Cricetulus griseus: one gene and its partner. The protein of the gene in region 2 interacts with the protein of the main gene of each other region in a biochemical or structural test. Links are inferred from orthologs where the notes say so. Each region holds a gene or a part of one and is shown on either strand. Other genes may lie near its edges.

What was found.
Region 1: the proteins of Nck1 (region 2) and Faslg form a complex in vitro, tested with the Homo sapiens proteins (2 studies listed by BioGRID and IntAct, with this or other methods). The link is inferred for Cricetulus griseus from reciprocal best matches to the Homo sapiens genes NCK1 and FASLG.

The regions. Positions count from the first base shown.
Region 1 is NC_048598.1:30,333,384-30,350,067, reverse strand, and holds Faslg (tumor necrosis factor ligand superfamily member 6), read right to left. Parts: upstream 10,857-16,684; coding exon 10,506-10,856; intron 9,744-10,505; coding exon 9,698-9,743; intron 5,186-9,697; coding exon 5,129-5,185; intron 3,202-5,128; coding exon 2,807-3,201; 3' UTR 2,273-2,806; downstream 1-2,272. UniProt on the Homo sapiens protein: Cytokine that binds to TNFRSF6/FAS, a receptor that transduces the apoptotic signal into cells. Involved in cytotoxic T-cell-mediated apoptosis, natural killer cell-mediated apoptosis and in T-cell development.
Region 2 is NC_048597.1:208,824,998-208,840,970, forward strand, and holds the end of Nck1 (cytoplasmic protein NCK1), read right to left. Parts: intron 9,986-15,973; coding exon 9,273-9,985; intron 6,933-9,272; coding exon 6,738-6,932; 3' UTR 5,303-6,737; downstream 1-5,302. UniProt on the Homo sapiens protein: Adapter protein which associates with tyrosine-phosphorylated growth factor receptors, such as KDR and PDGFRB, or their cellular substrates. Maintains low levels of EIF2S1 phosphorylation by promoting its dephosphorylation by PP1.

The DNA of each region.
Region 1 (16,684 bases), on a different chromosome or scaffold from region 2:
GAAACAAGATGCCTGCTTAGCCACCTACATGGCCAAGTCTGGTGGGGTTCCAGGTGAACTCTAAAGGTCCCTGGCACTACCAAAGGCTGCACCACTTCTAGCTGGGCTCATTGCTGAGTACAAATACCCTAAATCATGTGTCCTGCCTCTTGTTTTCTAGGTCACTTGTGACCTATCACATTAGGTAAGAAAAAGAGCCCCTAAGGTAGAACTTCTACTCAGGTACCTTTAAATATATATAATTTCACACATGGCCTCTCCCCTTCTTTTGATTAGGACTAGGAAATATCTAAGCCTTAGCCCACAAAGGCAAGCATCTACTTTGGTTTTGAGGGGGCTAGGCTTCCCCCTCTATTTCCTTCTTCTGAAAGTGCCTCAGAATAGATACTCTTCTGATGATGGCCACAGGAAAGCTCTTTCCTGTTAAGCTGTGGTAAGTCAAAACCTACTTCAGAGAACACAAAGCCACCAGTCTGAGGGGCTAAGAAAAGAATGGGTGTTGTGTGCTGTTAGATGTTAGAAAAGAAAACCTCAAACCATTGAACTAGAAGTGACTTTTCTATGTAGATCTGTGTTGAACTTTGTCTTTAATCATCTTTCGTTAAGAAACAATGGGAGATCCCATTTTCAATGAATACCTTCAAAAGTGTTTTGGTTTTAATATTACTTGTGTTTTAAATTAGAGAAAAAAATTCAAGGTTTTTAAAGGTATTGTTAGCATCTTTTTACTGGAACTAATACTATACTTGATCTTCACCAAAAGGCCAAGAATCAGAATACTTAAAGTGTAGTGATCTATTAATATAACCCCAAAGGGACCCTCGAGAGATGGATACCAGAGCAGCTTGACTGTTACATTATAACATCCACCAATTCTCAAGATGCCTGTGCCTCCATACTTACTTCTTTGCTCTAGTATGATTGTCTAGAAATGCTCATTGACAAAGAGAATAAAAATATCCAGAAAATGTTCCATGATCCTTGCAACAAGCATCTTTGATGACTGAAGGCCAAAATATAAGGAAAAAGATGAAGGGGATTTCATCACAATGACTAGAAAGGCAAATCTACAACCAAAAGACCAAATACCTCCCAGACATTCTCCTTGAAGTAACCCACCCACCCAAAGCAGATGTCAGATAGAAGAGCCTGAAGATAAAAGTTGATACTTTCCAACCTGAGATTTTGATTTTGTCCCTCAGTTTATTCAGGAAACATTTACCAACTCTTTTGAATAACAGCTTGGGTTCTGTTGACTTGGCACTTTCCCTTCTTCCTCCCATATTTTATTTCTGGAAATGTCAGGTAACTAATAATATCTTTCTTGTTTACAGTGTTAGGGGTTGAGGTGTGTTTCAGTTTTCTTTTTAACTTTTCCTCCTATCTGTGGCTTCAAACCCCCCTTGGATAATCTATTACACATACATATTAAAGAGGCTGCACATATATTACACATATATCAATTCTTTTCTGCACATCAGAGGGCAAGTGATCTACCAGACTGCAAAGTGAGCTAAGAACAAGAACAAAGATCAACTCCAGGCTTCTTTTTTTCTACTACAAAGCATGTATCTTTTCTACTTTGCCATGACTCTAACCCCAGAGAAGATGAGTTGCCATCAAATATGTGGAAATTTGGGTCAGCTTAATGTTGGCCATAATGGTGGTAAACAAAACTCAGGGTAATGTGAGGTCCAGAGGAGAGCAGATAGAGAGAAAAGACAAGAAACTGATGAAGATGGAAGAATTTGCCACACAGCTCTACTCACCTTTGTAAATCTTTCTCAGAATGCTCCAAAGCCATTATGAATGAAGAAACCATGGAGAAAAGAAACAATAAGCACATCTCGCTGATTTCCAAACACTATATCCTTAATACTTTTCTATATTCTGCAATACAATTTTTATTTGTCTTTTTTCACTAAGATTCACAAAATATATATATATATATATACTAGTTCTATTAAAGGAAAACAGCATAAGTAGCTGGTAATAAAAAAATTTTGAAGACTATTAGAGTTTATTGCCAAGAAACATTCAGATATCCACCACCAAATGTAACACATATGTTTCTAATATGTACTTTGTAATGCACACATTCTATTTATATGACTCTCTAGAATCTGTCTGTCTGCTCTCTCATACATACAAACACACACAGACACCATTGCACTGGAGACACACATGCCATTGCACTGGAGACACACATGCCATTGCACTGGAGATACACATGCTGTGTAAGGAATGATCTGTGCTTCAAACATCCCTCTTAGTTCTCTGTTAGCATCAAAGGTTGGCTCAGAAAACACCCGTTAAAAGTAAAGATGATGCCAATGAGACATTGGCCTCTTTCAGTCTCTAGCTTATCAGTCAAACCTGGCCCCCTTTTCCCATGCCTTGTATATTCAGATCATAACCATGTGTCTGAAAGATGGCCTCCTCTGAGGTAGCAAGTAGACCCACCCTGAAAGGTGAGTTTAAAAGTGTCCTCTTCAATGGCTAAAATGCTCTTGGCCATTTTTAGCATCAGACAGTTCCTTCTCTGTGCCTCTGCATCATCACATGGCAGCCCAAAGCTTTATGTTCCTTGGCCACAGTTCTCCTTCCATCTAGCTCACGATGGAGGCATTAAGGACCACTCTGGGAAATGAAGGAAAGTTGACCTGTTGAACCTTGTGATCATGAGGTCTTTGTGGCTCATTTTGTCTTGATTAATCTCAATTGGTCTTAAAAAGACACTCATTCAAGACAATATTCCCAGTACCCATAAAACGGAATAATGGATAATTCTAAAGTGCTTTTTCTGTTAAAGCTTATATAAGCCAAAAAATGTCTTAGATTCGTCAAAATTAATCAGAGAGAGTTGAGAGATGTTGACGTATAAATGGTCAGCACTGGTAAGATTGAATACTGCCCCCAGATAGCTGCTGTGGGCCCACATCTGGCCAGGAGTGCAGTAGTTCAACTTCTTCTCCTCCATTAACACCAGATCCCCAAGATACTTAGAGTTCCTCATGTAGACCTTGTGACTTAAGGGCTGATTGGTGCAAGAATGACCCCGGAAGTATACTTTGGAATATACAAAGTACAAGCCAGGGACATTGATCACAAGGCCACCTTTCTTATACTTCACTCCAGAGATCAGAGCAGTTCCATATGTGTCTTCCCACTCCAGAAGGACAGACCTTGAGCTGGGGTTGCCTGAAATAAACCAGAGAAGAACTTTCAGCCAGAAGGTCTCCCACATCTGATGGGCTAAGATTCCAAGGGAAAACTCTGGGCCCTTCCTTAACAAAAGCTCTATCCAGAAGGACAGCCAATCAGGGGTCAAAGCATGGTCCACCCCAGAGTTTCTTCAACACCTTTGTCAAATTGTCCACCCTAATTTAATCATCCATGTGATTGGGACAAATTTAGTGTGTGTCTCTGATTGATCTCAGGGAAGACTATTAGGATAATTTCAGTTCTCTGGAACAAACATTTTATGATCTAAACTAGTACCAACACCGCTGAGCTTGGGCATCCCTCCATAAAGAGAATGATCTCCAGAGTTCTACATCTGGACAAAATCTCATGGTTATGTGGTCCACTTCCTTGTTTAGTTTGGATTCCTTGGCCTCTTATTTTGGGCTAATCCCCTTCCATTTTGTTCACACAGCATTATGTACCTACACACAGCAAGTACTCAATAAGTGTTTGTGGACCCAGATGAATTTTTCTACAGCCTCCAAGTGATGACAGGAGGTATGGTACACCTCTTCTTGTGATATATAACTACATTTTTAATGTTTATATTTCTAATGGAGTTGCCCATGCCATATTATACTAAAACACTTATTTACTTTATAATCATAGGCTGAAAACCCACAAATGCCAGAACAATCTCTTCTTATTCAAAACAGTGCATCACTCACCCTTGGCTGCTCCTCTTGGACTTATGTCACAAGTCCCCTTGTGGATTTTGGCATGGTTGAAAAGAGTGCACTTTTTGTTTTATAAATAATCTCTCTTGGTTTATCTAATGGACAGAGGGCTTCCTTAAGAGTTGGGATAACTGTTCTTTGTTTCTGCCACAGGACTGTCAGCCTAGTAGACTCCCTTCCTTCCCTTTGCAATTCCTCATGCTGTGGTTACATCAAATATAACACATATGTCACATGTGCCCTTACATTTTCCCATGTGTACTTTAGCCCTTGAGGCCAGCTAGAATGACAGACCATAGCAGCTGAGCCTCACCCCATTGAGAGGCAAGGGAAAACTTAGGCAGATTCCATTAATAGCCCTGTGCCTGTGACTGTCACATCCCTCCCAGGAAGCACCAGCAATGCCCACTTCTGAGGTGTGACAAATACACACCACCTTTGCCAGTGTTGATGTCACACTCCCTTCAATCAAGGCAGCCATCTCCTCCTCTCAGGAAATGATGGCTGGGGCTCCTGTGCCAACCTGACATGTCCTTAACAGAGGTCACCAAGAGGTCGAGGCAAGGGGGAAATCAGAATTCTTCACACTTCAAACAGGAATTATGACCACTCTACCCTGAAGCCACCCTCTCCAGCTGGCCATTATCTACAGGAGAGACGTGCACTTAGTCAGAGTTTGTAAGCTCCAGAGCCAAAGGACAATATCCTCAGGGTCCAATTTATCTAGCCCAGACAGGTGTTTGCACATGTGTGTGTGCTCGTGCTCACGCTCTTGCAAAACCTGCATGGTTAAAAATGATCATTTCCCATCTTAAAGGAAATACAACAGGAAGTTTCTATCCTCTGTCAACAGTTTTATGCACATCCTCGTTACTGTCTATGCTTTGAAATTGGCTGCAGCTGTTGTTCTCATCTCCCTTCACATCTGTGTGACACCCGTTTTCTCTATCATCTGTCCAGAGCTTAGAGCTTTAAGGTGAGCTCCATCCTCAAGAGTGCACATTTTATGGCCAAGATCAAGCCATACACAAGTCTACAGCATTAGAATTGTCAGATTAGGCTCATGAGATCCCAGAGATATGAATGGTCTTGAGTGGTAAATACAATTGTCAATAATACTTTCTAAGAGCCTACAATGGAAATTGAGCATTTGGTCCACAGTTTTCCAGACTTTCTGTCCTCACCCAGTCCTTCCAGACACAAACCTGTTAAATGGGCCACACACCTCGGCTCTTCTTTTTCAGAGGGTTGACCGGGGTGGTCTGCATCATAGAGAGACAAAAGACATGTGAAAATTATGATGATGGGTGCCAACCACTATCTTGATTGGGACTCTAAATCCCACTATTTAAATATGTGATTTTCAGAGCATAGGGGGAAATATTCTAGTACAGACTTATCAAGAAATTCTAAACTGTGGGACTCATGAGAGTCTGTAATTCAAAAACAGTTTAAAAAGACAAGACAGGTAAATACAGATGAATACATAAATTATATTATGATAAAATAGCCATTTCATTTACTCCATTTAGAACTTGCCTTGACCCCTTTATTGTCCCAATTATAACTGGCAATAAGACATTAGTAACTGACTGACTTTAACGGTGGATGCAATGGGCACCTTGGGCTGACTGTAAATCCCTGGTCTGTACACCCTGATTCTGCTGACCTGTAGACTACTGATTCATCTCCTGGGCACCAATCTACAATCTATTTCCAAGGTGATAATATTAAGACCTCCTCATCTATCACGAGGTTGTCCACAATTTTACTCCATCATGTAGCCTTAGCCAGAGTTCCTCTACATGGTATCAGTCTTACTCCCTCTATTCCATCCCATCAAACACTTGCACACAGCATGGGTTCTATGAACTGATTATGCCCCCTTCTTCCCTGCTCCTGGGCTTTTGCTCATTCTGTCCAGAACGCCCTCCAAATGAGATCTCTGAGTTAAATTCCTGTCAATTATCTAGTGACCATCTTACACTCCTCTTCCTTTGGGAAACCCTTCCACACTTTTTGTCAAATATGGCCCTTCACCCTTCAAAGCCTAAGACCCTTCTGTCTTTGCCTCTCTTGATAGTTATGGCTCCTCCCTCCTAGGGCAACTATAAAAACTGCCTTTACTTCCTTCTTGTCCAGGAAAATAGCAGCTCTCTGGAATAATCACTTTATGATCTAAACTAGTACTAACATTGCTGGACTTTGGGATCCTGGCTACCAAGTCTTTCCCTAATGCCATTTTACTATATAGTTAAGTAACAAGAGCATTTAGCCTTGTTTAGCATAGTATCAGTAAATTAAATTGAAGTCATTAAAACTGACAATATCTTTTTGAATAAATGCTATTTCTCTGACTTCAAATACCTCAGTTAAGGTAAAAATATAGTACTGGGCTTCATGAATTCAGCTAACTAACACATTAAAAAAAACACTTATAGGAGGGTGCTTGTCCACCTTAGATTTGGGACTAGACTATAAAACACACACAGGGTGTGAAAATATACCTGTTTACTGAGAATATTATCTAAAGAATTGTGACCTCTCTAGCACCTAGAACAACCCTTCTTGAAGGAAGTGTGAGGGAAAGGATAGGCAAGACTGGACCTCTTACACACCACAAACCACCGGAGTAGATGACCTGGCATTCTGCCATGCACTAACAGGAAATGGAGCAGAGAACCACATGTTGCTTAGATTTATATTTCTCATAGAGCCTAGTACAATGCTATTCTCATAAAATATACTCTTATAAATGTCTGCTGGACAGGTCCTAGAAATATCTAGAAATATGAGGAAAGTCTTTTTCCTGCCCCAGGCTCTTTGCATGTGCAATGTGGAATGTCCTTCCTCCTCCATGACCCATACATCAACTCTTCTTTTTGAGAGGCTTCTGATAGCTTCCATGTGCATCAGCATAGACAACCCTATAAAGGATTTCCAGACCACTCTACTTTGGATCACTCTTAATACTATTTGGAATTGTATTGTTGACTTGTTTTTGTTCATCTTCTCCACTGTGTTATAAGATACATGAGAGCACTCCTCCATCTTTATCTCTCTCATTCTCAAACACCAACCAAGACTCAGCCTCAGCCACAGAAGGTTCTCTAGAAACCTTGTATATAAATAAAACATCCAATTAGTTAACCATGGAGAAGATAGAAGCATAAGAATTAATAGGCCTGATTAGATGGCTGGGGAGCTTGCTGCTAAGCCTGAGGACTGAATTTGATCTCTCAAACCCACTGGTAAAAGGAGAGAACCAATCCCCACAAGTTGTTTCCTGACCTCCACACACAAGCTGTGGCAATACATATGCACATGTGTATGTAAACACGCAATAAGATTATTAAATTGTTTGAAAAAGTATTTTAAATGGAAGAAAGAAATCTATGATAACTATAGTGTCTTCCAGAAAAAAAACAATCACTTTCTATATTCATTTGTTTTTTTCTTAGAAGTTAAAAACATGCATACATATTTCATAATGAGTATTAAACTAAAAAGAGCCTTTGATAACTTGACTATTTACCTAACAATGTAAAGTGCACAATATTTATGACATTAAAAGTCCTAGGTGGTTCTACTAGATGTTTTTGTGCCATTCATAATGGTGTATTATTCATGTGCCACAGTGTATTCAACTCATCTCCTATTCTGAAGGTTAGGTTTCTTCCAAATTGTTTTATAAGAAACTGATGAATAGGACTGGAGAGATGGCTCAGAGGTTAAGAGCACTGGCTGCTCTTCCAGAGGTCCTAAGTTCAATTCCCAGCACCCACATGGCAGTTCACAACTGTCTGTAGCTCCAATTCCAGGGGATCCGGCACCCTCACATAGACATGCATGCAAAACACCAATGGATATAAAATATAAATAAATAAATCTTTTTTAAAAAATAAAAAGCCAGGTGGTGGTGGTTCACACCTTAAAGAAGGAAAGAAGGAAGGAGGGAGGAGGGAGGGAAGGAAAGAAAGGAAAGAGAGAAAAAAGAGAGAAAGAGATGAACACTATATATGTAAATTATTTTATCTATCTCCAACTATTTTCCTAAGAGAATCTTTTAGTGTTGAGATTACAAAGCAGACTAACAGTTCAAGCCCTTGGAATGAACTTTCCTATGTTCTTCATGGTACTTACAACAATTTCCATGCATGCTGGAGGAAACTTGTGCCAGATATGACCTTTTTTTCTCACACATATTTGTAATTTGTTTTCTTATTTTTGTGAATTTGAAGGAAGAAATAAATACCCCTTTCCTTAAGTCAGCCCCTCTTAATAGCAAAGTGATAATTTTAACTTTCTTGTGACAGTTTATCAGTTTCTGGCCATCTACATTGATATAAAGAAGATAACTACTGGGGTAGGTAGACCTGACTCATTTGTCCACTTGACTTTTATTCACAAAAATGACTCCATGGAGTGGGTGACAGGGAGTGATTAACACCTATACACAAGCCTCGTTCCACTGATTTTCAAAGTGATTTTACTTTAAAAACCCTGAGAGGTTTCACTTTTCTAGCAAGTTATTTCCACTGTCCCTGTGTAATCTGGGCTTTCTGGTGCTTAGAGACTTGAACACTGAGCTGAAAACCAGAGCACACCATGGTGGCCCTTACAAGAGCTTATATTCTCAGGCAGGAGCTGACTGCTCACTTTCTGAGTATGGAGCCCACTCTCCTTAATGGATGGCCACTGTTGTCTGTTGCCTTTCAACTTTCTTCAAAGTTTGTAGGATAAAACTGCCCTGTTGCTTTTGCAAAGGCAACTGCTTTGCATCATTTCAGGGCCATTATTGAGAGGTGGGAGTTTCTCTGTGAATCAGAAACAAGGCATAAGGGGACTGTTTTCCTGTACCCAGCTTCATACCAGAAGACATGGGCATTGAACCTAATTGGTATAGTATTTTGTATCTCTCCTGGAAAATGGAAAATAGATCACTTTCTCCCTAAGTTCCTTTCCAATTCAAAAGAAATATAAAGCTTTGTGAACATGAGTCCAAGACATATAAAAACAGATCCTCATATCTCTGTTCAATCCCTAAAAACCATGCCCTGAGATTTTATGTTCAAACTGATCATCTTCCTCTTAGCCTGGATCTAGTGTGTGTGTGTGTGTGTGTGTGTGTGTGTGTGTGTGTGTGTGTGTGTATGTGTGTGGTGTTTTTATCATCAAACTCATCAAAGGCATCTTAAGTCCTCTGTGGGGAAGGTGTACAGTCCTGTGGACAATGGCTAAAGTCTTCCCAAAATACCTAACAATTTCAGAAGAAAACATTAAGGAAAACAATGGGTTTACTTAAAATTTATTTAAAATATCTTACAAGATATTTTAAAAATACATCTTCATTCTTGAGTAGTCACTTTTAGTTTAAAAGGAGGAGAGGACATCTCCAGAAACATTTGTGTCTGCCTCTACTCCCTTTCTGTCTTGAGGAGTCACAGCCACCCATGTGAGATGGGACCAAGATACCCAGGGAAGGGGCAAAAGGAAAAGTCCAGGGCTGTTTGTATGTCTCCTTCAAAAGTCAAGCCCAAGTTCATTTGAGTTATATGCAGTGTTCATTCAGATACATGGCTATTGAGCAATAAACTTCATCCAATTTTTTTTGTAGTTCACGGAACCGGACTGAATGCAGAGTCTAAGTTCCCCAGGATCTTGCAAAGGAATTGTAAGCCTAAGAAAGGGGAGACTCCCAGGCATCCTTCCAACTCTGTTCAGTGTTGAGGACCACTTTGGGGAATTCAAAAGACATACATAAAAGTACTTACATATTTGCTTTTCAAAAGATGATACTTTAAGGCTTTGGTTGGTGAGCTGATAAAAGAGAAAGATTCATACAATAAATGTGGAGCTATTTAAGCCAAGCTGTCAGAAAAATCCCATCAGTCCCTAGAAAAAGAACTCAGATACTTCAGATCCTGGCCCAACTTAGATGTGAGCCACACAATGGTATCTGGAGTAGTACTAAGAATTCCAAATCTTTTCAAACAGATTTAGTCTATACTTCCAATCAAGATCCAAAATTGATTTTTTTCCTTGAATCACTAAATATGAAGCTATAAGAAGTTTATGGCATTCTTGACAACGGAGAAAGGAATAATTATTTGCCTCAGATCTCTAAATGATGGAAAATATTCCCCTTGACCAGTGGTTGTCAACCTTCCTAATGCTGTGAACTTTTAATACAGTTCCTCATGTTGTGGTGATCCCCAGCCATAAAATTATTTCATTGTTACTTGATAGTGCAATTTTGATAGTGTTATGAACAATAATGCAAATATCTAATATCCAGGAAAACCCTGTGAAAGAGTCATTCAACTACCCGGAGGGGTCGTGACCATATGGCCCACATGTTGAGAACCACTGTCTTTGAGGGAGTGAGCATGTCTCTCCAACTGTGGAATAGAAATACTATACCAACCCTTTCCTAAAACGCAGGGGATTAAAATTATCTTTACCGTTAAAACAAACAAACAAAAAACGCAAATCATTGCAAGCAATACAGTGGCCCACATGCAGCAGAGTCATGTTGCACCCAGGGACTTGGGGCCTTATTGATCCCTATGCCAGGCTTACCTCACGGAGTTCTGCCAGTTCCTTCTGCAGATGGAAGAGCTGATACATTCCTAACCCCAGTCCAACCAAAGCCGCCACAACCATGAAAAATATCACCGGTAGCCATTGATCTATGCTGTGGTCCTTCCTCTTCTTCAGAGGTGGCATTGGCGGCAGTGGGGGTGGTGGTGATGGTGGTGGTTGTGACGGAGGTGGTATCGGTGGTGGAGGAGGTGGTGGTCTCCTTTGGTCCGGCCTTCCAGGCACAGAGGATGGACAGGGAAAAACTGACCCTGGAGGAGCCCAAGAAGAAGTGGCACTGTTGTCCACCCAATAAATTTGGGGACATCCATAATTCACAGGCTGTTGCATGACACCCTGCCCTGGGAAAGGGTTTTCTTCTCTCAATCTTGCAGAGACTCTTGAAATGTGGAGAACAGGACTCCTGACGCTGACTGTTCCAGAGAAGATAAGTGAGTGCGTTCTCTTTTATAAAGTTTCCACAGTCAAGGGAAACACCCCTCTCTCTTTGCTTCTCTGTGAGACACCCACTCACTTTGCATCTGAAGCTCAAAAGCCTCAAAAAGCTCTCAGCGACCCCAGGAAGTTTCCGCCCACAAATTTCTGACGAAAGTCTTCGAAATGCAATTGGCGTTTCTATGCTGCCTGAGGTGGCTGAGAAGTGCCTGAGGTCCGGATTCTCCTTGAGAACATGAGCTGTTCTCTAGCTGCAAGAAATGAACTGTGTGGCATTTTGGAGCTGATGCTCAGAGGAAAAACCATGGAGTTCGGCTACAGAAGCTATCTCCACATCTTAGCTTTTGCATGGGGAATTTAATCCCCTGTTGCTGTTCCTTCCCTCAACCGAGTACTACCTACCACCATAGCCTTGCAGGTCACCATCATTTCATAGTTCAGAAGGTAAAACCTGCCTCACCCATTCCCACAGATTAGATCAGAGGTTGCAAACCACGGGCCCATGTGTCTTGTAGTACCACAAAGACTGCTTTCCTATCAGCAGTGTCTTTTCTTCCATTAATTGCTCACTTTCAAACTACATACCTCTATTCTCTTTGAAAACAGTGGAATATTAGGCATCCCTGGCCATCTCTGAACGCCAGTTGGCTGCCACCAGGAATGTGCCTCAGGTGGTCCACGCTGCCCCACTGTGCCTCCTATCCCACTTCCCCTGAGAAGTGGCTTTCCAAGCCTCTGTAATCATCTATCATTGCAATCCCTGTTATGGTCACCAGATGAAACTTCAGGTGCCCAATTCAGAAGAGACTGGGATAAACAACAAATAATTTTTATGGCATATGGGCTTTAACCGTCACACAGAACATGCTAAAACTTTATTCAGCAATTACAGCAAAATCAGCTATATATCTTATGACTTTCTAAAACTGCCTGCCCTGCCTGGGTTGACTTCACTCTGGCCACACACACAGCATTATGTCTAATAAGTTCTAAGAACTCAGCCTCTGTTTCCAGCGTTTTCCCATATAAGCCATATAAATTCCAGAAATTCCTATATTCTGTCTTTCGGGGCAAGCTCTATGTCTTAAATATTCATAGTTTTTGTCTCATATTTGGGGATTTTTGAGATGATCACCTGACTTTCTCCTTTATGCCAAACCTATACCTAAAGTGTCATTATCCTGCTGCTGTCACCCTGTCTCACCCCAGCTGCAAATCCAACCTCTTTCTCTGCTGGCAATCTCATGATTCCAGTCATCCATGCCTGCCTTATTTTTTTTTCACCTCACTCACTATTCCCATGACTGTTGGCCCTGGTTGGTCTCTCCTTGCTTTCCTACCTGAGACTCCCAGTGTTCTTTGATAATCGTCATTCTGTCCTTCCATGTCTCTCTTTGCCCTTCTTCTTTTAATTCATTTTTTTTTTTTTGATAGAGGAATCAGAAGCCAGGTCTTCCTAACCCCTACTGCCCTCCAATCACAGGGAGAGGAGAGGAGTCCCTTGATGAAAGAGACAAGAGAACTTCAGGAAACTGGTTTGGAATTTGGTGGTTCAATCCAGCATTCCCCCAGGCAAGATGGAGAAAGAAGAAACACCTCTGTGAACAGTCACAAGACCCATCACATTGGTACCAAAGCCTTATTTTTTTGGGGGGGTGGTTTTTGAGACAGGGTTTCTCTGTGTAGCTTTGGAGCCTATCCTAGCACTTGTTCTGGAGACCAGGCTGGCCTCGAACTCACAGAGATCTGCTTGCCTCTGCCTCCCGAGTGCTGGGATTAAAGGTGTGCGCCACCAACACCCGGCGGGTACCAAAGCCTTATTAATGAAAAGAAATCGTCATTTGAAGTAGAACTTAGCACTGTGGCTGCTGAAGGAAAAACTAATCAAGAACCGCCAGGCTGGAACCTCAAGCTGATTGACTTCTCTCAGTCTCCTACTGTTACTATCCCAGGGAATCTGCAGGAAAGTTGACTCAGTAGACTACAGACCAGAGCTCTGGAGGTGACTCAGCAGGGGGATGCACAGTCAGAAAACCTGCTGTTACTTTTTTTAACTAGCCCAGAGAAACCCTCCAAGGCAATCTGCCAAGTAGACAGGAAGATTGCAAATGTAAGCAAAGACCATAGTACACTCCAAGTTTGAGTTTATTTGTGAGCGTGAGCCTACTAGGTCAAGTTCTCTAAGTATTTCCAGGATGCTCATTTGGCAGCTCAATCCCCTGACACCACCAGCAGTTACAAGGACCATCCTAGCCTGGGCTTTGCTCTCTGCTCTGTAGCATCCACCTTTATAATTTTTGCCAAGCATATTATGCCTATGAAGATAATCTCACCATCTACTACTTGCCTTCTCTCTGGTTCCTTATGAGTTTGAACATCAGCTGTATATTTGTTGGGCAATCCATTTTCTTGTTATGTGCATATTCTGTTTGCCAATTAAAAGTTGTTTATCTCCTCCATCTGATTTGCAGGATTTTCTTATACTTTATGGATATTTTAGATGTAAAGCCATGGCTGCTTTCAGATATTGCAAATGTCTTCTCCCAAATGCATGCAGATTGCACATTTGGGTTTTAATACACACTTTTGCTTATGAGTCAGGAGTCTATATTTTTGTCTATGTGTTTATGTGACAAAAAGAGAAATCTATTTAAAAGACAAAGTTTGATTTGGCTCATGGTTGGGAGCCATGCTGCACAGTTTCAGACCAGTATATGAGTGCTTGTCCATATGGGGTCTCCAGATGAGGCAAAAGCCCACCGGGACAGTTGCACTCAGCAAGGACTGGTGGAGTTTTGGACAGTGCAGAATTCTGCTGAGACCACGTGGCCTGAACACTCTCTTCTCATACAATGATTGATGATTCTTTTGGTGGTTTTAGTGTCATTTTGTCAATCATGCATTTGACAGATGTGAACATTCCTAGAAAACCCATTTTTTTCTTGAGTATCTTCCCCTAAAATTCTCAAGTTTGGGGATGCCAGCTGTCACTTCACATCCCAGGAGCTATCCTAATTCGGTGCTGATAGGATCAGAGGTAGGTTACCCCTATTTCAGTAAATATGCTTATATCACCCCTATTTCTGTAAATATGCTTTGAACGGGATTGTTGATCTTGAAAATGTGTGCCTATGTCAATCACCTTTTAGTTTTGTAAAGGCCGGATATACTTGGCTGGATATTTGGCGAAGCTAACAAAATGATAAGTGTTGTTTTGGTTTAAAGATGTTTTGATGTAAAAGCTGGGAGAAAACATATTTCTTTTTGCTGGAGCTGGAGGATGGGAAAAGCTTGTTTGTTAGTATGGAAAAACATGCTTTTTTATGTATAAAGATGGTTGGAGTTACATGGACAGGCCACTTGTGTAAAATTCTCCCGGCTGCCAGACATTTCATTTCTTCATGCCAACGCCCCTTTCCCATCTCAAGACCTGAGCCAGCTGCGACTGGATCAAGGCAGTTCATGACTTCAGTGTGTTCAGTAGATGGGTAGCAGGGGTGAACGTCATGGCAGGGAGCTTGTTGTATAACAAAGCTGATCATCTCATGGTGGCCAACCAGCACAGGGCTTGCTTTTTATAACAAAGCTCTTCCCCATGGTTATTCAGTTCATGAGATCAGAATTGTAATGATCAAATCACCTGGCCCCTAGAGGGCCCCTTGCATTTTAGATCAAGCCTCCAAATACATGAGCCCTGAGAAGACATTTCAGATTCAAACCAGGGGCTGGAAAGATGGCTCAGAAGTTAAGAGCACTTCCCAGCCCCTATGTTAGGCACCCCACAACTACCTGCAACTCGACAGGATCCAGTGTCCTCTTCTGGCCTCAGGTACCTGCACTTACATGTACACACCCACATATGAGGCACACATGCTTACACACAATTAAAAGTTATAGAAGTGTTAAAAATGCAAATCTTGTACAGTTTCCTCAACTCAAGCCATCTTTTTTTCTACTGAATCACAGTGGCATAGTTATCACAGTTTCCACTGATGATTGATCCATCTTAGAGTTCTCAGTTTTGTTTGGTCTATCTATCTATCCTGGTAAGAAAATAACATAGTCCTCTTAGTCATAGCATTGTAGATATGTTTTTTTTTTCTTTATAGAGACAAGCAGATTTCCAGTGTGGTATGTACCCAGGCTGGCCTCCTACTGGCAGTTCTCCTACCTCCTTTTCTTAAATTATGGAATTACAGAGGTTCACCAACATGCCCACCAACTTTGTAAAGGTCTTAAATGTATTGGCACTTGTTTAGGCAAAATTTCTTTCCTCTTTGTTCTTTTTAAGAAATTGCATGAGGGTAGGAGAGAGGGTGCTGCCACAATAAGAGCACAAGAAGAGGAGGAGAGGAGAAGAAATGGAGGAGCAGAGATATTGAGTAGAGGGAAGAATAGAGAAGAGAGAGCAGGATGAGAGATACCATATTAGAGGGAGCCACTATATGTCTGAAGAGATCTGGAACCAGGGAGATCTCCAGAGACCTACAAGGATGACATGATCTGACAATCCAGGCAATGGAAGAGAGGGTAACCTAAAAGCCCTTCCCCTAAAATGAGATTGATGACTACTCTTTATGCCATCCTAGGGCCCTCATCCAGTGGCTGATGGAAGCAGAGACAGATATCCACAGATATACACTGAGCTGAAATCTGGAATTTAGTTGAAGAGAGGGAGGAATGAAGATCGAATGGGTCTGTACCAGGTTGGAGAAACCCACAGAAACAGTTGACCTGAACAAGGGAAAGCATATCGACCCCAGATGCTTTCTGGGAGACCAGTACAAGACTGATCCAGCCCCCTGAACATGGATGTCAATAAGGAGGCCTCTGCACTCCAGGGAGCCTCTGGAAGTAGATTAGCATTTTTCCCTGGTGTAAGAAGGGACTTTGAGAGCCCATCCCACGTGAAGGGTTACACTCTGGCCCTGGACACATGGGGAAGGGCCCAGGCCCAGCACAGGAAGATTTGGTGGACTTTGCAGAGCCCCTGTTGAAGGCCCTACCCTGCCTGGGGAGTGGTGGGTGAATGGGGTGGGGGGGGTAGGTTGGGGGTGAAGGAGAGATGGAGGTGAGGGGAGGGAGAGGGAGAAGGGACTTACAATGTGAAACAAGCCTGTTCCCTAACTTGAATTAATAAAAAAAAAAAGAAATTTAACAATCATTTGTATATTTAATCTTCCACATATGTTAGCAGAAAAAAAAAAAACTGTCCTATTTGGAAAATGTCCTTCAGGCTTGTAACTGTAATTGAAATAATCTGAGCCTCCTAGTCCACAAAGTGAATTCCGGGACAACCAGGGATACACAGAGAAACCCTGTAGTATCATTACCATTGTTAAAAGTACATGAGGTGATCCTACAGAAATTAGTATATTTTCTTCATGGGTGAGTCAGAGAAACAAGATAATCCTGGTGATGAAAACAGGATTCATTCATGATAAGTGCATCATTTCTGAATGATACGCATTCTTTCTGTTACATGTTTGGTGTGTGGCCCCTCTTTATTCCCATCATTCTTGATCCAATTGGTTCAAGAAAATTTACTGGACAAAGATTACTGTTTATTGCAATCTAATAGGTAAATGTCTAGACCTTGCCTGTACCTTAAATTTGATATACTTAGTGTTCAAGAGAAAAAGATTTGATATGTCTTTTTCTAATGTGAAAGGGAAAGCTATCAAGGGTAACTTGTTTCTTATTACACTGGACCAAAGGACTGA
Region 2 (15,973 bases):
AAGTTTATTGAATAAGCTGAGAAGAGCAGTAAACAGACAAAAAAAAAAAAGCAGAAAAAGCATCCACACTTGAATAAAACAATTTACGTATTTATGGCACACATGTTTAATCCCAGCACTCGGGAGGCAGAGGCAGTTGGATCTCTGTGAGTTTGAAAGCTAGTTCCAGGACAGCCTCCAAAGCCACAGAGAAACCCTATCTTAAAGCCCCCCCCCCAAAAAAAAAAAAAAAACACAAAAACCATACAACAAAAACCAATAACCTGGGTCAACACCCAGTAAGAAACTCAGATGCTCTGCCTCTGCCTGGGCCATTAGACTAGGTGAGAGCTTCTAGATGGCTATGCCTCCTTTGCTCAACTATTACCTGATACTGCTAGCTCTGCTCTTGCTTGTTTCTCTTCTGCTTTGTCAATTCTTTTCCTATACTATCTCTTCAACCAGTTGGGATTTCTTGTCTATGCAACACGCCCAAACCAAACTGTCCTTTATCCATTTGCCTGCAGGTTTGTTTTTTGTTGACCCAAGGTCTCAAGGAGCCAAATGGACTCAAACTCACTATTTGGCCAATTTATGGATGAACTTTAACTTCCTGATCCTCTTACCTCCATCGACAAGTGCTGGGATTGGTGTACATCAACATGATTTATATGGCGATGAAAATCAAACCCAGAGGCTTGTGAATGATAGGCACTACTCTACGAACTGAGCAATATCCCCAGCCATTTTGTCAGAATTTATGGGATTTTCTGCAGAATTGGAGGATCATTCAGGCCTGAAGATGAACAGGTGAATGGATGAGTATGTGGGTAGTTTAAAAATAGCATTTCTCCCCATTTGCTACCAAAATCTTTGGGATGTAATTTTGTTAGAAAGAACAAGAACTTTGTGTAAAGGTAAAGATAAGTGAGGCAGAAAGAAAACTTGGATGGTCATTCTTTTCACCCCCAATCCGAGACTCACTTATCAGACTGAAAGAATCCAGGAACAGGCCAAACGGTCAATTACTTTACTCTGTTATAATCTTCACTTACCCTGCTTGCACAAAGATTCCCATTTATTTATGCCTGTGTGCACATATACCATTTAGCTCTCATTTCTTTTTCCTGGAAGTCACACAGAGAATTTAAAACAGTGAAATTCACTTTTAGATTCTTCTGTTTCCAACAACTTTCCTCCAGCTGTAATTTCCAAACTCCAGTTTTCAAGGTCTTGTCTGACTTTTAAGCTTCGGCTGAGAGGCTGGAGAAATGGTTCAGCAGTTAACAGCACCAGCTACTCTTCCAGAGGATCTGGGTTCAACTTCTAGCCAATGTTGACTTACAACCTTCTCCAGTCCTCCAGAGAGCCAAAGCCCTGGGTCTCCCTCTAAGAGCACAATGCAAGCAAAATACCCACACACATCCAAAAAAAATAAAATTAAAAAAAAATTTTTTTAAAAACTCCTTGGAACATAGTCATTTAAATCTGATGGTTTTCAAGAAATTAACCTCTTGGAACTAATGGGTTAAAACCTTTAAGTCTGTAACAATGCCACCTTTGTGTAGTTATACCTGGTTTCTATGTAACACTACCCAATAACTCCTATTAAGACAGAGAATTGAGATTTATTCTGAACTGCCCTACAAGTTAAAAGTTCCATATCTGAATAAAACAAATACCAGTTTAAAGTTCTGGAAATCAGAAACATGCTTTGTAAAGTGAGTATCTACATGATATTCTAATGATTTTGGCTACTGTTTTTCAATCACTGGTTGGCTCTAAGTGGAGCCCACGACATATAAGCCAATTTTATCAGACATTCCACCTGTTAACACCCACAACTATGTGCTACAGCTTCACCCACTTGTCTTTCAATGCACAACTCCTCTCTCCATTTAGGTTTTGCATCCCCAGAATGCAAATTTCACCAAAGCCTTGTTAATTTTTTTTTCATTGTAATGCAGGGTAAAAGCAGCCTCATGCTTGAGCAACAAAATAATCAACTTAAAGGTAGGATTGTTTTAGATGAGAAACAGAAGAAAAAGAGGGGGAGGCCCCATCTCCTGAAGGTTTCACCACCTTCTGAGAAAGTGGCTCCAGATGGGAACCAAGAATTTAACGCATGGCTTTGAGGGATATGCAGGATCAACAGTATCAACAATCCAAAACTAAACTTTTCATTTTGAAACTAAGCGATTATGCCTCAATGAAATCGGTATCTGTTCTCTGTAATATTCCCTTTATCTACAGTTTAGAAAACATAGAACCTTTGTTTTGACACCATTTCCTCTAGAGAAGCCATGCTTACTCAGGAGTTCCTGATTTCTTCTGTAAGTTTTCAAAACTATCCCAACTGTTCCTGTGTTTAGCCTATATTTAGACAACAGGTAGCCCCTTTCTGGAATCCATCTTTTTTTTTTTTTCCGAGACAGCATTTCTCTGTGTAGCTTTGGAGCCTATCTTGGCACTCGCTCTGGAGATCAGACTGGCCTCAAACTCAACAGAGATCCGCCTGCTTCTGCTGGGATTAAAGGTGTGGGCCACCAACACCCGGCCATCTTTTTGTCTCAACAATTTTCCAAAGATAGATAACTGCAGGTTCATTAAGATATATCTGAACCCAAAAGTTGGTTTAAAACAATCTTCTTTTTTTCCTATATACTAGATAACTATTTCAAAATGCTATGTTTTGTTTTCCTGTTTAAGTGGTCCATGGGGTACAACAGGAGAGAGAAAACCTTTGCAGTAATAAATAAAACTTCCAACAGTGAGACCAGCTTTCCCTGTGCTGTAAGCTTATGTAATCTGAGTGGAAACATTTACAATCACAGTTGGTTGAATACTTTCCCAGCATGCAAGAGGCAGCTGTTCCATTGTCCAGCACTACAAAAATAAATACATCAGCCAGCTTGTCCCTGCTAAGCTACTGAAGGCATCAAACCAGTTCTGAAACTGATACAACCAAAGCGTTCTGGCCAGAAAAACATTCTTAATTTGGTTTAAAAACCATTCTGTATATATAGCCAATGACAATCGAAACTTTTCTTTCCCTCAGCAAGCACAGTTCATTTCCTATTTTATTCAACAAGTCTCAGCAAACCACATGCACTTCCAGATCAAGAGGCTCCTGTAAGTAAACTAAAAAAACACACATGTAACAGCAAGAAACTGGGGTGTGAAGTGTGTGCTGCTTGTTTTGCTGTCTGCAGTGTTTAGAACACAGCAGAACACAGCAGAGCTGAGTCACAAACTTGCTGAACACCATCGAACCAGCATATCTACCTCATATCTGTCTACCTTGCAACAGAATCAGAAATTTGGTTTTTTAGTCCCCTGGATGAGATTCAGAAAATGTTGAACAAAATTCAAGAAGTGTCCAAAGTTGTGAAGACCTGAACACAGTTAAGAGAGCTATACAAAGGTTTCTTTTTCTTGTAATACAGAATTAAAATGGAAAAGCAAGAGCTGCAATGCTACATTCCTAATTAATTGATTTGGCCATGGGAACAGTTTCTAAAAAATGGCCACTTCATATTCAAATCCAAAAACTCTCCAAGCAACAGGAAAAATAGGGAGAAATAGGAAATCAATTTGGCTATATATTATGGGGCAAGAGTTGGGAGAGACTTTATTATTCTGTTTGAATGTCTTTCACCATGCACATTATGGGACCATCCACACTAGGTTCCAGCTGATGATTAACTCGGAAATTCAACTCACATTGTCAGCTTATTTTTAAAGGAAACCATAAATTACAAGGCTATCTGCAATCTCCTGTTTTAAGTGCTGTCAAGTTGAATACTACACAAGTTGAACAATACTTCTACATTTGTCTGCCCCACGAATAAGGCATCAGCAGCAGGTAAAATTCTACACTTTTTGACAAGTAAAGGGATGGGGTACACCAGGAGACAACACCTGTTCCTAATTCCCAGAATGCCCTCATAGACCGTATTTTTGCAACCTCTAGATTACATGGCAGAGCATTAGAGCTGGATACAATTTACAAGCCATGTATTTGCAGGCATATCCTAATGACCTAAGTTGCTCATTGCTAGGTCTTTTTATTCCGGCACTATGCTCAGGTTTTTTTGTTTGGTGGTGCTGGGGACAGCATCCAGGGTTCATGCATGCTCTACCACAGAACTACAGTCCCAGCTCTACATTTTTCAGTGTCTTGATAAATTACTCATGCAGGCCTTAAATTCATGATCCTCCTGCCTCAGTCTCTTGAACAGCCAGAATTATAGGCTTATACGACAGGGTAGGGTGTTTTCTATTTTACTTAGTGTTATTTGTGAAACAGTTTTAATAGTCTTAGATGTATGTGTTAACATGAATACTGATTATATTCAATACACATTATGAGAATATTTAACTCACCCCTAAGATTTATGACCAAGAAGATGTAACATTTATAGCTTTTCTTTTGTGGCTAAGCTTTCACACATAAAGTTGTTTAAGAACAAAACAAAACAAAGCATCTCTTCCAAGACTTTAGAGCAATTTCTGTAGTCATGAGCCAGGTGGTATTATAGGTACATGTATTTAAATTTGGGAAACTAAATTTCTTCTTAAACTAAAGCTCTTCATATAGAGATGAAACTTCTGTAATAGTACCTTCCCCAGGACCCACCTCCTAGTCTAAAACTAGCACACAGAGAGGTGTCAAGACACAGATGACACTAGGCTGGGGTTGTTTCTAATACAAGTTTGTCACGATCTAACTATGTAGCTATTTTCTAAGGATGTTCTAAGAAAATTGCTTCAAGTAAAACTCATGCTTAACAATATTGAAGAGATGGTTTAAGACACTTTAAAAAAATTGATCAAACGTTGAAGCACAAAGTAAAACAGTGAGAGTTAGGTTTTGTTTCACAGAAAGTACAACTACTGGAGCACCTCCATTTTCTAGGAACTCCAGGATGCATGCACTCCATCCACCTCCACACTCCTCCAGAGCCACCTTCACAAAGTATGGGCTGTGGAGTAGAGGGTTTCCAGAAACAGCTGTATCCATGATAAAGTCCTAACTGCTGCTTTTTATAAAGGCCCATTTTGCTTCATGAGGGGAGGAAGACACAAAAGAGAAAGCAAAAATAAAGTGTCAACTGTTAAGAATGCTAACTACCTACTCATTCTGCAAACCACTTTTAAACTGTTTTTCTTAGCATTCATAGTATTTTACAGTCCCAAAGTCAAGCATATATGACATTTATTTACATTAAGCTAATCTAATACCATTTACCCTAAACAAAAGAGCACTCAAAGACAAATGTAAATTAAAAAGCTTTGAAAGCAGGTGTTATAAAGATGGAAATTCATACATAAGTGCTTTAATTATATTTGTTAACTTCTAGTTAGAGGGAGACGCCAGGGCTGCCACCCAGTGGCAACATCAGCCTCCAAGTGATTTTAAGATTTATATTTAAAAATTTTAACTACTACAATGAAGAAAAAAGTGAAATTACACAACTTTAATTTTTATCAGCTATAATTTTTGTACAGTAGTGTCTAAAAACCACAAAGAACAGCAATGTTCTTGTACTTATATGGCATCAGGGGCTTTTGTTACTTTGCTTAAATTTAAATTTACAGAATGACGAGGAAAAATGTGACTAACAAAAGATTGAATACTTTAGTCTCTCATTCACATTCACAAAGTACTAGATGAAAAGTAAAAATATTAAATAATACAGTTTACCTAACTATAGCACATTTCCCCACAGCACATCATTTAATTGTTCCAGTTAAAGAAACTAAAAGATAAGGAGGGGCACTCAGCAGAGTACCCACTTATCATGTGTGAAACCTTGGGTTCAATATACAACAGTGTCAAAACACAGTTCTCCAGTAAATCTGTTCAGATATTGGAGGAGAGGGTAGGATGCTGAAAGGAGAAAACTTTAAATTACTGCCATGTAGGATTACTGATATTTAGAGAGAGAGAAATAAAAAATAACATCTCACTGTCTACTAGTTTCCCCAAACTTGGCCATGACTTACTTCACAGTGGCATAAATATGGCATTATCTAATATAACACACTTTGGTCAAGGACACTGGAAATGTCCATTTCATTTCAACAGCTGTCAGGGACTGCTTTGTTCCCTTGAACAATACTCCTTTAATTCTTAACATTTTTGTTTAAATAGCCATAAATTATGTTTTCTAACCTATATCCAGGGCCTTTTGAATACAATGAATGGATTTTAAAATGAAGGCACAAATAACATACTTTATATTTACAATGGCTTGTGACAGATACAATATCTGGAAATAATTTCTAGTTTCCTGTTTATTATTGCTATTTAGTCACAGAAAAGATTAACACTTTACAAGAAATGTACTTTAGCATATGCCATATAGATAGGATTTTATGTGAAAAGGAACTATGGGAGAACAGGAGGTCTTTACAAGAAAATAAAGAAACATCAATAAAAGAACTCTTCCATATATAAAGATTTTTGAACCAAATTATTCTTTTTCAGAATACAAAACTTGAACTGTTAGAAGGAAAGAGAAAAAAAAAAAGCAAAGAAGACAGTAAGATAGAAGACTAAGAATAAAGAACTCTTCTATATAGATGCACTGCATATGCAGATATATGTATGGGTTGAGTTATAACAAAAATACTCATGTATTACAGTCAGTTCTCAGAACCAGCACTTTCCAAACAAGTATAATTGGCCCAACACGATCAGTCTTCAATTACATGACGAGTTAAAGCTGTGTAGCAGTCACTGCTGATGAGTATCAAGACAAATGTTTGACGAGATATAGTTTTTCTCCTTGTTCACTTGTAAAGATTGGTGCCTTTTTGTAATGTTCTACAAGTTCTTCCATGGTGCTGAATTTCCGCTGCCCAATGCAGTAAACAGTCTCTTTCAGTTGGACTTTAAAATGCTTGTTTTTCCCTTGTGCTTTTAGTGATACTGAGAAATCATTTGGCTAAAAGAGAAAGGGGGAGGGGGAGGCAAACATTATGAAAGCCATGTATCAGAACTGAAAATAAAACATAACTGCTAAAATCTGAACATTAAGACACTATGCTAAATTATTTACATAATCTCCTTTATTCCTCAAAAGAAACCCTTTTTTATAAATGAGGAAAATTAGCCTCAGAGAGCATGTCTAGGATCACATATCTGGTTAGACAGAATTCAAGAGTCTCCTAACACCCACAGGGCCCACAGAAAATCCATTACAACGAGAGAAAAAAATGAAAAATTTCAGACTTTCACTCCATCCCCTTTCAATTCAGAGTTGGACAGTACCTGACTTAGATACAATGCTCTGAATTTTCAAAAGTAAAGGACAAATAAGAATTCAATTAAACTTTAATAAATGGTGACAAACACAAATTCCTCAAATGCCAGAAGAGAAATGTAAGCAAGACAGAAGAATGAGGATATGGCCAGCCTAAAGAAGACGTACTATTCTTCTGTGATTGCTGCTTTGCAGGAATAGATGCCATGTGGACTGGTCTTTGTCCTTTATTTATGTGTATGGGTGTTTTGCTTGCATGTGCACCTGTAGATCACATGTGAGCAGTGCCTATGTGGTCTGAGTTGCCATGTGGGTTCTGGGAATGAAACTGGGTCCTTTGAGAAAGCAAGCTGTACTCCTTATCACTGAGCCACCTTTCCACCATGGTCTTTAACTTTTAAAGGGAAATCTGAAACCTACAGTTTCAAAAGATGTTTTTATTATTTTTTAAATTTTGCGCATGTGGGTTATATGTACAAGGAGGCATCAGATCACACTAAGAGCTGGAGCTGCAGGTAGCTGTAAGCTACCTGACATGGTGTGGGTCCTGAACTTGGGTCCTCTGGAAGAAAAGCAAGTACTTTTAACGGCCGAGCCATCTATTCAGCCCCAAAGTCTGGATTTTTATAAGTCGTTTGCAATGGATTAGAAAGATTTTTAATTGCACAGGCCAAACAAAAACACACATTTAAGGTCTATAGCTGAAAAACAACAGTATTAAAAATAAGCATATATTTTGGCTAGTATTTATACTCTACCCACATGAAAAATAACATCCTGTATTTAAGCTTCCTTCTTTCTTAATTAGGTGGTGGTAGTTGCAGATGTTGTTTTAAACCTAATACTTCTGAACAGTCTGTGACTTTTAAATGGTGTGCCACATATCAGGATTTTAACAGAAAATGGACTCCACTTCTCTATTAATAATCATCTGTCTCTGAAAGGCTAAAGGTACCATTTTCCCTAATTTCATATCAGGAAGTTCAATCATCTCAGTCTCATACACATACTATTTTCTTTAACCTTTTATACAATACATTCACAGAAAGTCAGTATTAACCACAATTTGGTAAGTAGAAGAATAGTGATATCATTTATCAGGGAAAGAAAGTTTTTAAGAAAAACAAGAACCATCAAATTTTAACATATAAAGTAACACTTAAAAGAGACTAATGGCTATGTCATTTTTCAATTTGTATGTTTTTATTGTCTAGCTAGTACTGTAACATAATTTACTTTTCATTGCAAATACATTTCACATGATGTCAAATAGGTTGTTGAGGCCAGGCAATGGCAGTACATGCCTTTAATCTCAGCACTTGGGAGGCAGAGGCAGACGGATCTGAGTTCAGAGGCCAGCCTGGTCTACAGATCAAGCTCCAGGACAGCCACAGCTATACAGTGAAAAAAACAAAAAAAGGTTGTGGAGGTGAATAAAAAGTTCATATTGTCAGGTATGGTGTCACACACCTTCAGTCCCTGCACTGGCAAGGGCAGAGGCAGGTGGATTTCTGAGTTCAAGACTAGCCTGCTCTACACAGTGAGTTCCAGGGCAGCCAGGGCTACATAGTGAGGCACTGAGGGAGAGAGGAAGGGGAGGGAGAGAGGAAGGAATTTTAATCAAACAACTAATTTATGAAGACACATAATTATTTTTTATAGTAGAGAATTCCTGTAGGACTACAATGATTGCATTCTTATACTTTACATGTAGTAGCAATTTAACTTGCATTTTTCTACTCTCAAGGAAGAAACCAATGCTCAGTTTTCCTCATTTTTCAGTTTAATGGGACAGAAAATATTCCAGAAATGTAAAATCAATACAACTGAAGAAAGCCCATTAATACAACATATTCACTGCTCCAGCTAGCCAGCTTATTCAAAACAGGTACACTGGAAAGAGCACTATGATCATGTCCCGGCTTACCACTTAGGTTTAAGGAAGCCACTTATTCAACCTCTCCAACCTTATTTTTAAATGCTTGGAGCTCTATTTCCATTTACCTTTGAAAACCAACTTACCGAAGATTCACTATCACGAATGAGGAAGTCTCCTTCATGTCCCCTTTCATTTAATGCCATTTCTGCCTGGTGCCTGGTGACTTTGCCATAATACCAAGGATTGCCAGCAAACTTTCCAGTGAGTGAAGGCCTAATGTAATCACACTGTGGAGGCGATGGTTCCAAACCTGAGGTTAATGGATTATTCTGCATAATGGTAACATAGTTTTTTGGCACCAGGCCAACCATGCCATTGATTTTCCTGCATTTCCACCACTCTGGGTCATTTTCCGGCTTTTCAATAACATCCATTACATCACCTTTCTCAAAATTGAGTTCTTCATCATTGGATGAGCTGAACGGGTAAAGAGCCTGTACCACATGCAGTACTTGACCTGTATTTAGGTTATTGACAACTGCTGCTAATTTCTCTGACAGAGAACCTACATGGTCACCTAAAGGACTGTCACCTTCTTCAGTTACATAGTTTGAAGGAAACCATCCAATTTGTCCATTGTAGCTGCCGCGCCACCACCCATCACTGCATTTCTCCATGACGATCACCTTTGTCCCTTTTATCAATGACAGTTCATCCTCTCTCTCAGCCATGTAGTTAAATTTCACAAAAGCAGGCATGTTGAGGTCATAGAGTCGCTCTCCCGGATCAACAAAGCTATCATCAGCAGGAGATGCAGTATCTGGAACACTAGGTTTTCTTTTCACTTTTCCAATGCCTGTTTAAATAAAGAGAAAGCAGTAAGAATACAGCTTCAACTCAGCACACTTACCCCAAGCCTCTAAATGTAGAAAACAAACTAACATGATGTAATCATCTTTTGGGAAATGAAATACAAGTTCTTTTTCCAAAGCCAAACCAAATGAACTTCAGTCATGTGACAGTTTATCTCCTCTTTTCTTCTGCCAAACCCATGAAATCACTACGTAGTAAAGTTGCCATGTTGAAATTTCTCTTAAGTATTAATATAGTTTATTTCTCTCATAGCTACAATTAAGAACAAATACTCCAGTAATCCCACACTTGACATCTTAGTTTATTAACCTAGATTTTGTAAATAGCTATATAAAAATGAAAAAAAATTACTGAAATTAGTAACTGATACACAATATAAAATTGTATCTGGGTAATCTCATTTGATAATTTCTTAGTTTCCAAAACCAGATCACTCTACATTATCTGTTTAAAATATTATTTACTCATTTGTTTCCCTTCATCACAATTCACATAAAACCTCCCAAAAGGCAAGGATTGTTCACTTTGCTCATAGATAAAATCCCAAGGAGCTTGAAGGGTACTTAGTACATAGAGAATGTTTAGTGTGTTTTTACTGAAAGAACTAAGAAAATGGACCTATCACCATTAATGCACACTTCAAGTGCAATCAGGCATTTTAAGGACTGATCATTTCTCAGCACATTATCTCATGTTTTGCTTTTTACTTTGAAAAACTGGGACTTTCAATGTAAAACTGTTCAAATTTCTTTCTACATGCTTTTTGTTTTGGAGACAGGGTTTCTTTGTGTACCCCTGGACATCCTGGAACTTGCTCTATAGACCAAGCTGGCCTCAAACTCAGGTATCCATCTGCCTCTGCCTCCAGAATGCTGGGATTAAAGCTGTGTGCCACCACGGCCTGGATTCTTTCTATATTCTTAAAAACAAAAACAACCTTATTATTCTCACTCTTTGTTCAGCCAGGGTCCCAAATTCTAATCCTTCAGGGTTCTTAATAACTATCTTTTCTCTTCAGAGACTCCATACTACCCTTGTTTCTGTCTTACACAGACTTACCAATTATCTAAAAACACTCAAATCTCTTCAATACCAAAATGAAATTATTTTACTTTGCTATTCTTTTAGTATTTTTTACATTTATTTCTGCATATATTTACTTAGCCTAGCTCACAGTCAGAAACAACTTCTGAGAGCTCATTTTCTCCTACTGTGCAAGTTTCAGAGACTGTACTTGGGCTCAGAACAGCTCATGCTATTCTTTTAAAATTGTATCATTTTTTAATTATCTTTCTACTTTTCAGCTTCTTCAAATCTTGCTTGCACCACCCCCCCTTTTAAAAATATACACTTATAATCATGCTGAGCCACACTTGTACTTATAGTCTTTTTCTCTATATATCATGATATAAAAACTACTTGGTTACAACTGTAACTGGAAACCTAATTTGGGGGTGGGATGCAACAAATTATATTGGACCAGCAGCCCCAGACATCAAACAGAAAATGAATGATGGAAAAGCAGAGAAGAATTTCAAATTGAATGGCTATGCTGGGAGATAGTCATCATATATCTCAGTCTAGAGAACTGACATAAGCTTTAAGTTTGACTAGGAATTAACTAGGGCAAAGGATGAGAGGTGTACACAATGACTGATCAAATCTGAGGCTTGGATGGTCATTATCCCAGTGTTGGATCTGTGACAGGGCCTCTTTATTGCCAGAAAAAAAAACCAATCTAGTTCTCATGAGATTACTGCTGCTGAGGGGTAAAGTTCACTAAGGAGAGGATTGATTATTTGTTTGACTTCACTGTTCTTAGAAAAGGTGACTGTAGGTTTAGGATAATGGCTAAAGACTTCCAGTCACCTTTTGGGAAATCTGGAACAGGATATTGTAAACGTTAACACCAAAGAACTTTTTAGTTCTTATCTTTGTGCCTTAAGCCTTAATCAGGCACTCCTTGATTAACATGCTTATACTCAGAGTTGAAAAGAAGTACAACCCATAGGGGGGAAAAAAGGCAGATATAAAATGAAGGCAGAAATACTAGGTTTTATCTTGCAAATTTTAGTTACTTGTGGGCACAAGGAGCCAGTGCATTTCCCCAAAATATTTATTTATTTATTTATTTATTTACTTACTTACTTATTTATTTATTTGTTATGCAGTGTTCTACCCAGGCCAGCAGAGGGCACCAGGTCACATTACAGATGGTTGTGAGCCACCATGTGGTTTCTGGGAATTAAACTCAGGATCTCTGGAAGAGCAGCCAGTGTTCTTAACCTCTGAGCCATCTCTCCAGCCTGAGCCAGTGCATTTTTAGCAAAAGCAGTGGTATTTTCCTATTACTGTGATAAGGCACCATGACCAAAGTAACTTATAAAGAGTTGCAGCTTACAGTTTCAGAGGGTTAGAGTCCATGACCACCATGCGGGCAGGGGAGGCAGGCTGGGCTGTTGAACACTGAGAACTCACATCTTGAGACTCAACCATGAGGGAGGGAGAGATAACTGGGAATGGCACAGACTTCTGAAACCTCAAAGCTCTCCACCAGTGACACACCCTCTCTTCCCCAAAGAGCTCCACCAGATGGGGACCAAGTATTCAAACACATGAGCCTTTCGTGGCCATTCTCATTCAGATCACCACAAACAATTGCTAAGTATGTGTTACATACTTAACACCAAATTATTACATTCTTAGCCTTTTCATATGACAAGTAAGATCACAGGCAATGCTCTTTATATTTGCTCATGACACCCCTGGAAATCTTGTTCCTCCCCCTTGCCTATTTACATATTCTTTTATGTCTCTAGTCCCCTGTAAACCTTGTTATAACAGTGCCTTGAACTTGTTTACTTGTATTCCCTAATGAGAGTCAGCTCCCTTAGAAGGGAAAAACTAGAATTTTCCCCTTAAATCTCCAGTGCTTAGTAGTCGATATATTAGTGAACAGGACAAAGCAATTGCTAAATAAATTAGAAAGTCCTTAGTTGAAAATATTTTTCCAAGATGGCATAGTTGGCCTTCTCTACTTCAAAGAAACGACATATAGATTTTTCAGATTTACTTGAAGATTTAAACTCTTACTCTGTCTGGAACCCAAGCACTAGAGTTCTGTCGCTAGATACATACAGATTTAATCAACTTCTCAAATCCATACTCATATCCAAATATGTGATCCCTTCTTTTAAAAAAGTCTTCTATACCTATAAATGAATTGTATCCTTAATTTTCTTACTTATGGCTAATGAGATTATCATTATGAAAAATCTCTACGGTGGGGTGGCATTGATTAAAAAAATGGCAGAGTAGGAACTCTATTATTTCCTCTAAAAAACAGTCAATGAGCTGACAAATACTGCCAGCATTTGCAAAACCTGGAATTTGGCAAACCAAAGCACTAGGGCAATGCTAAGTGAAGAAAGCTGCTGCTTTACATAGAGAATTTGGAGGCATTTTAAGTTTCCTTCCTACCAGTCTATTCCCCAGGTCAGAGTGCTTTGAGAACAGCTACCTATAAACCTCATTAAAGAATTGTGACTGCTAGGCTTTAGTTTGTCAGATCCCCTGAGAAACCAGCACAATAGTTTGTCTTGGGTTCACCAGACCTAGAACGTTTCAGAGGTAGGTTGTCTTCCTAAGTAGATTTCACTTAAAATCATTGTTTGATACAATAGCTTGAGACAAGGGACAAAAAGCCTGAGAAGGAAGATGACAGGAAAGGCTATCCAGGGAAAAAATATGTTCTAGGAAATCAAGATGGTCACACCTATGATCATGGCAGGAAAAGGCTAGGGGAAAAAAAAACAAAAACTGGCTGATCTACAACTTCGAATAATACAGTAGGTAAAGTCCAAGACAGAATTGTAATGGCCAAGTATTAAAAAAGTATGCCAATATACAGTATAAAACTATAAAAATGGAGATTTCCTGCCCCCATTTTCTTCTGGCTCTGTATGTTTAAGGAAACAATGTCAAAATACTAGGTAAAAAAGCAGCCACATTATTAAGAATACAGATTTTAGAAAAAATGTCAAGCAGTTCCTCAAAGATAAAGAAATTAAGACATTCTTAACTAATCACTGATAAACTTGTGCTTTAAGAAATGTGAAAGGTAGTCCTTCTGACTGAAATGAAAAGATACCAAAAAGAAATCTGAAGTCATACAATAAAAAAGAACACCACTGATGGGTGAGGTCCTTCTGTGTAGGTTTATCTTATTGGTTGTTGAATAAAGCACTGTTCGGCCAATGAGGCAGAAAGATAGGTTGGACTAGGAGTCAAGGAGGATTCTGGGAAATGTAGTAGAGTGGAGCTGCCATGTGATCCCAGGAAGGACACATTCCACCAGCATCCTCGTTAACATAAGTCTTTATAAAATATATAGATTAAGACATCCTAGTCATTGGCCAGCAGCACTGTACCTAATATAAGTCTCTGTGTATTATTTTGGTCGCCCATGTGGCAGTGGGGCTCCGGCGGCTTGGTGGAAAGATTTATCATTACACACCACCAGCAGACTTTTTTTTTTTTAAATTTATGTACATTGGTGTTTTGCCCAAACGAGGATGTCAGGTACCCTGGAACTAGAGTTACAGACGGTTATGAGCTGCCATGTGGGTGCTGGGAACTGAACCTGGGTCCTATGGAAGAGCAAGAGCAATCAGTGCTCTTAATTGCTGAGCCATCTCTCCAGCCCCACTAAAAAAAATGTTAACATGCATCTCAGGAAGCTCAGGAGGCCTTAAGCCTAGACATAGGACTACATACAGGTAACTACATATAGGCATTCTTGGAGCAGGAGAAATAGTCTTCCCCAAGGAAGAACACACCAATTAGTTATCCAATACCAAATGATCAATTCTGGAAACATACAAACAAATAACAGACTGAGCAGGCTGCATTATGTATTTAGGAATATACACACATACAATCCACCACCACAAACAACAACAATTAAAGAAAAAATGACCATGTATTAACAACAACAGCAATTAAAGAAAAAGTGGCCATGCATTTGAAATAGATTGCGGGGGGGGGGGGGGGGCCGGCAAGGGTGCACTGGAAGCTTTGGAGGGAGGAAAGTGAAGGTAGAAATGTAATTGTAATCCCCCCAAAATTTTAAAAACAGATAATAAAGAACAATGGTAAAGGTAGCTACCACAGATAACTATAAAGCCACTAGTAGTTCATCGCTTTTGTCTGTTAGTCTTTTTTCCTTTATGATTTAAATACATAAAATTATAACTTCAATCTAAGTAAATAAATAACATATAAAGAGATAATATATAATGATATAAAGGAACAGCTATATATACCATCCAACCAAGTTGGGATTAACTTAAACTTGCTAAAAACAAAATATTAGTTGTAACATCCAGAGTAACTTTCAAGCAAAAACTAAAAAATATAAAAAAAGAAATGAAAGAGATTAAAAAAAAAAACAAACAAAAAAACAACAACAAAAACACCGTATCACACACACAAAAAGAAACCAGCCCAGGGCTACACAAAGAAACCCTGTCTCAAACAACAACAAATCCAACCAACCAAATAACCAAACAAAATCAAAGAGTAAGAGAGAAATTAAGGTGGGATGAAAAACAAGACATAAAGTAAAGAAAGAGCAAAAGAAGTCCTTCCTCATCAGTAATAGTAAACACTGAAATGAATTTCCCACCGCGCTCAAAGGACACATGAGCTATTCTTGCTAAAATACCCTTCCATCTTGTACTTCTCAAATAATTACATTATAGTTTTTTTAAAAGATAACTATAGAGCATACTTTTCAATGAAGAGTGTTCAGCATTTTACTAATCTTTTGCATATGCTATACTATCCAAAAATGCATGGAGCAGATGCTCAGAGTAAATATTACTGTGAAATAAGGAAAACATTTAAACTATTAACTAAAAGTAAAGACTAGGTTCAAAATGATTTTTTAATCCTAAAGAAAACATCCAAA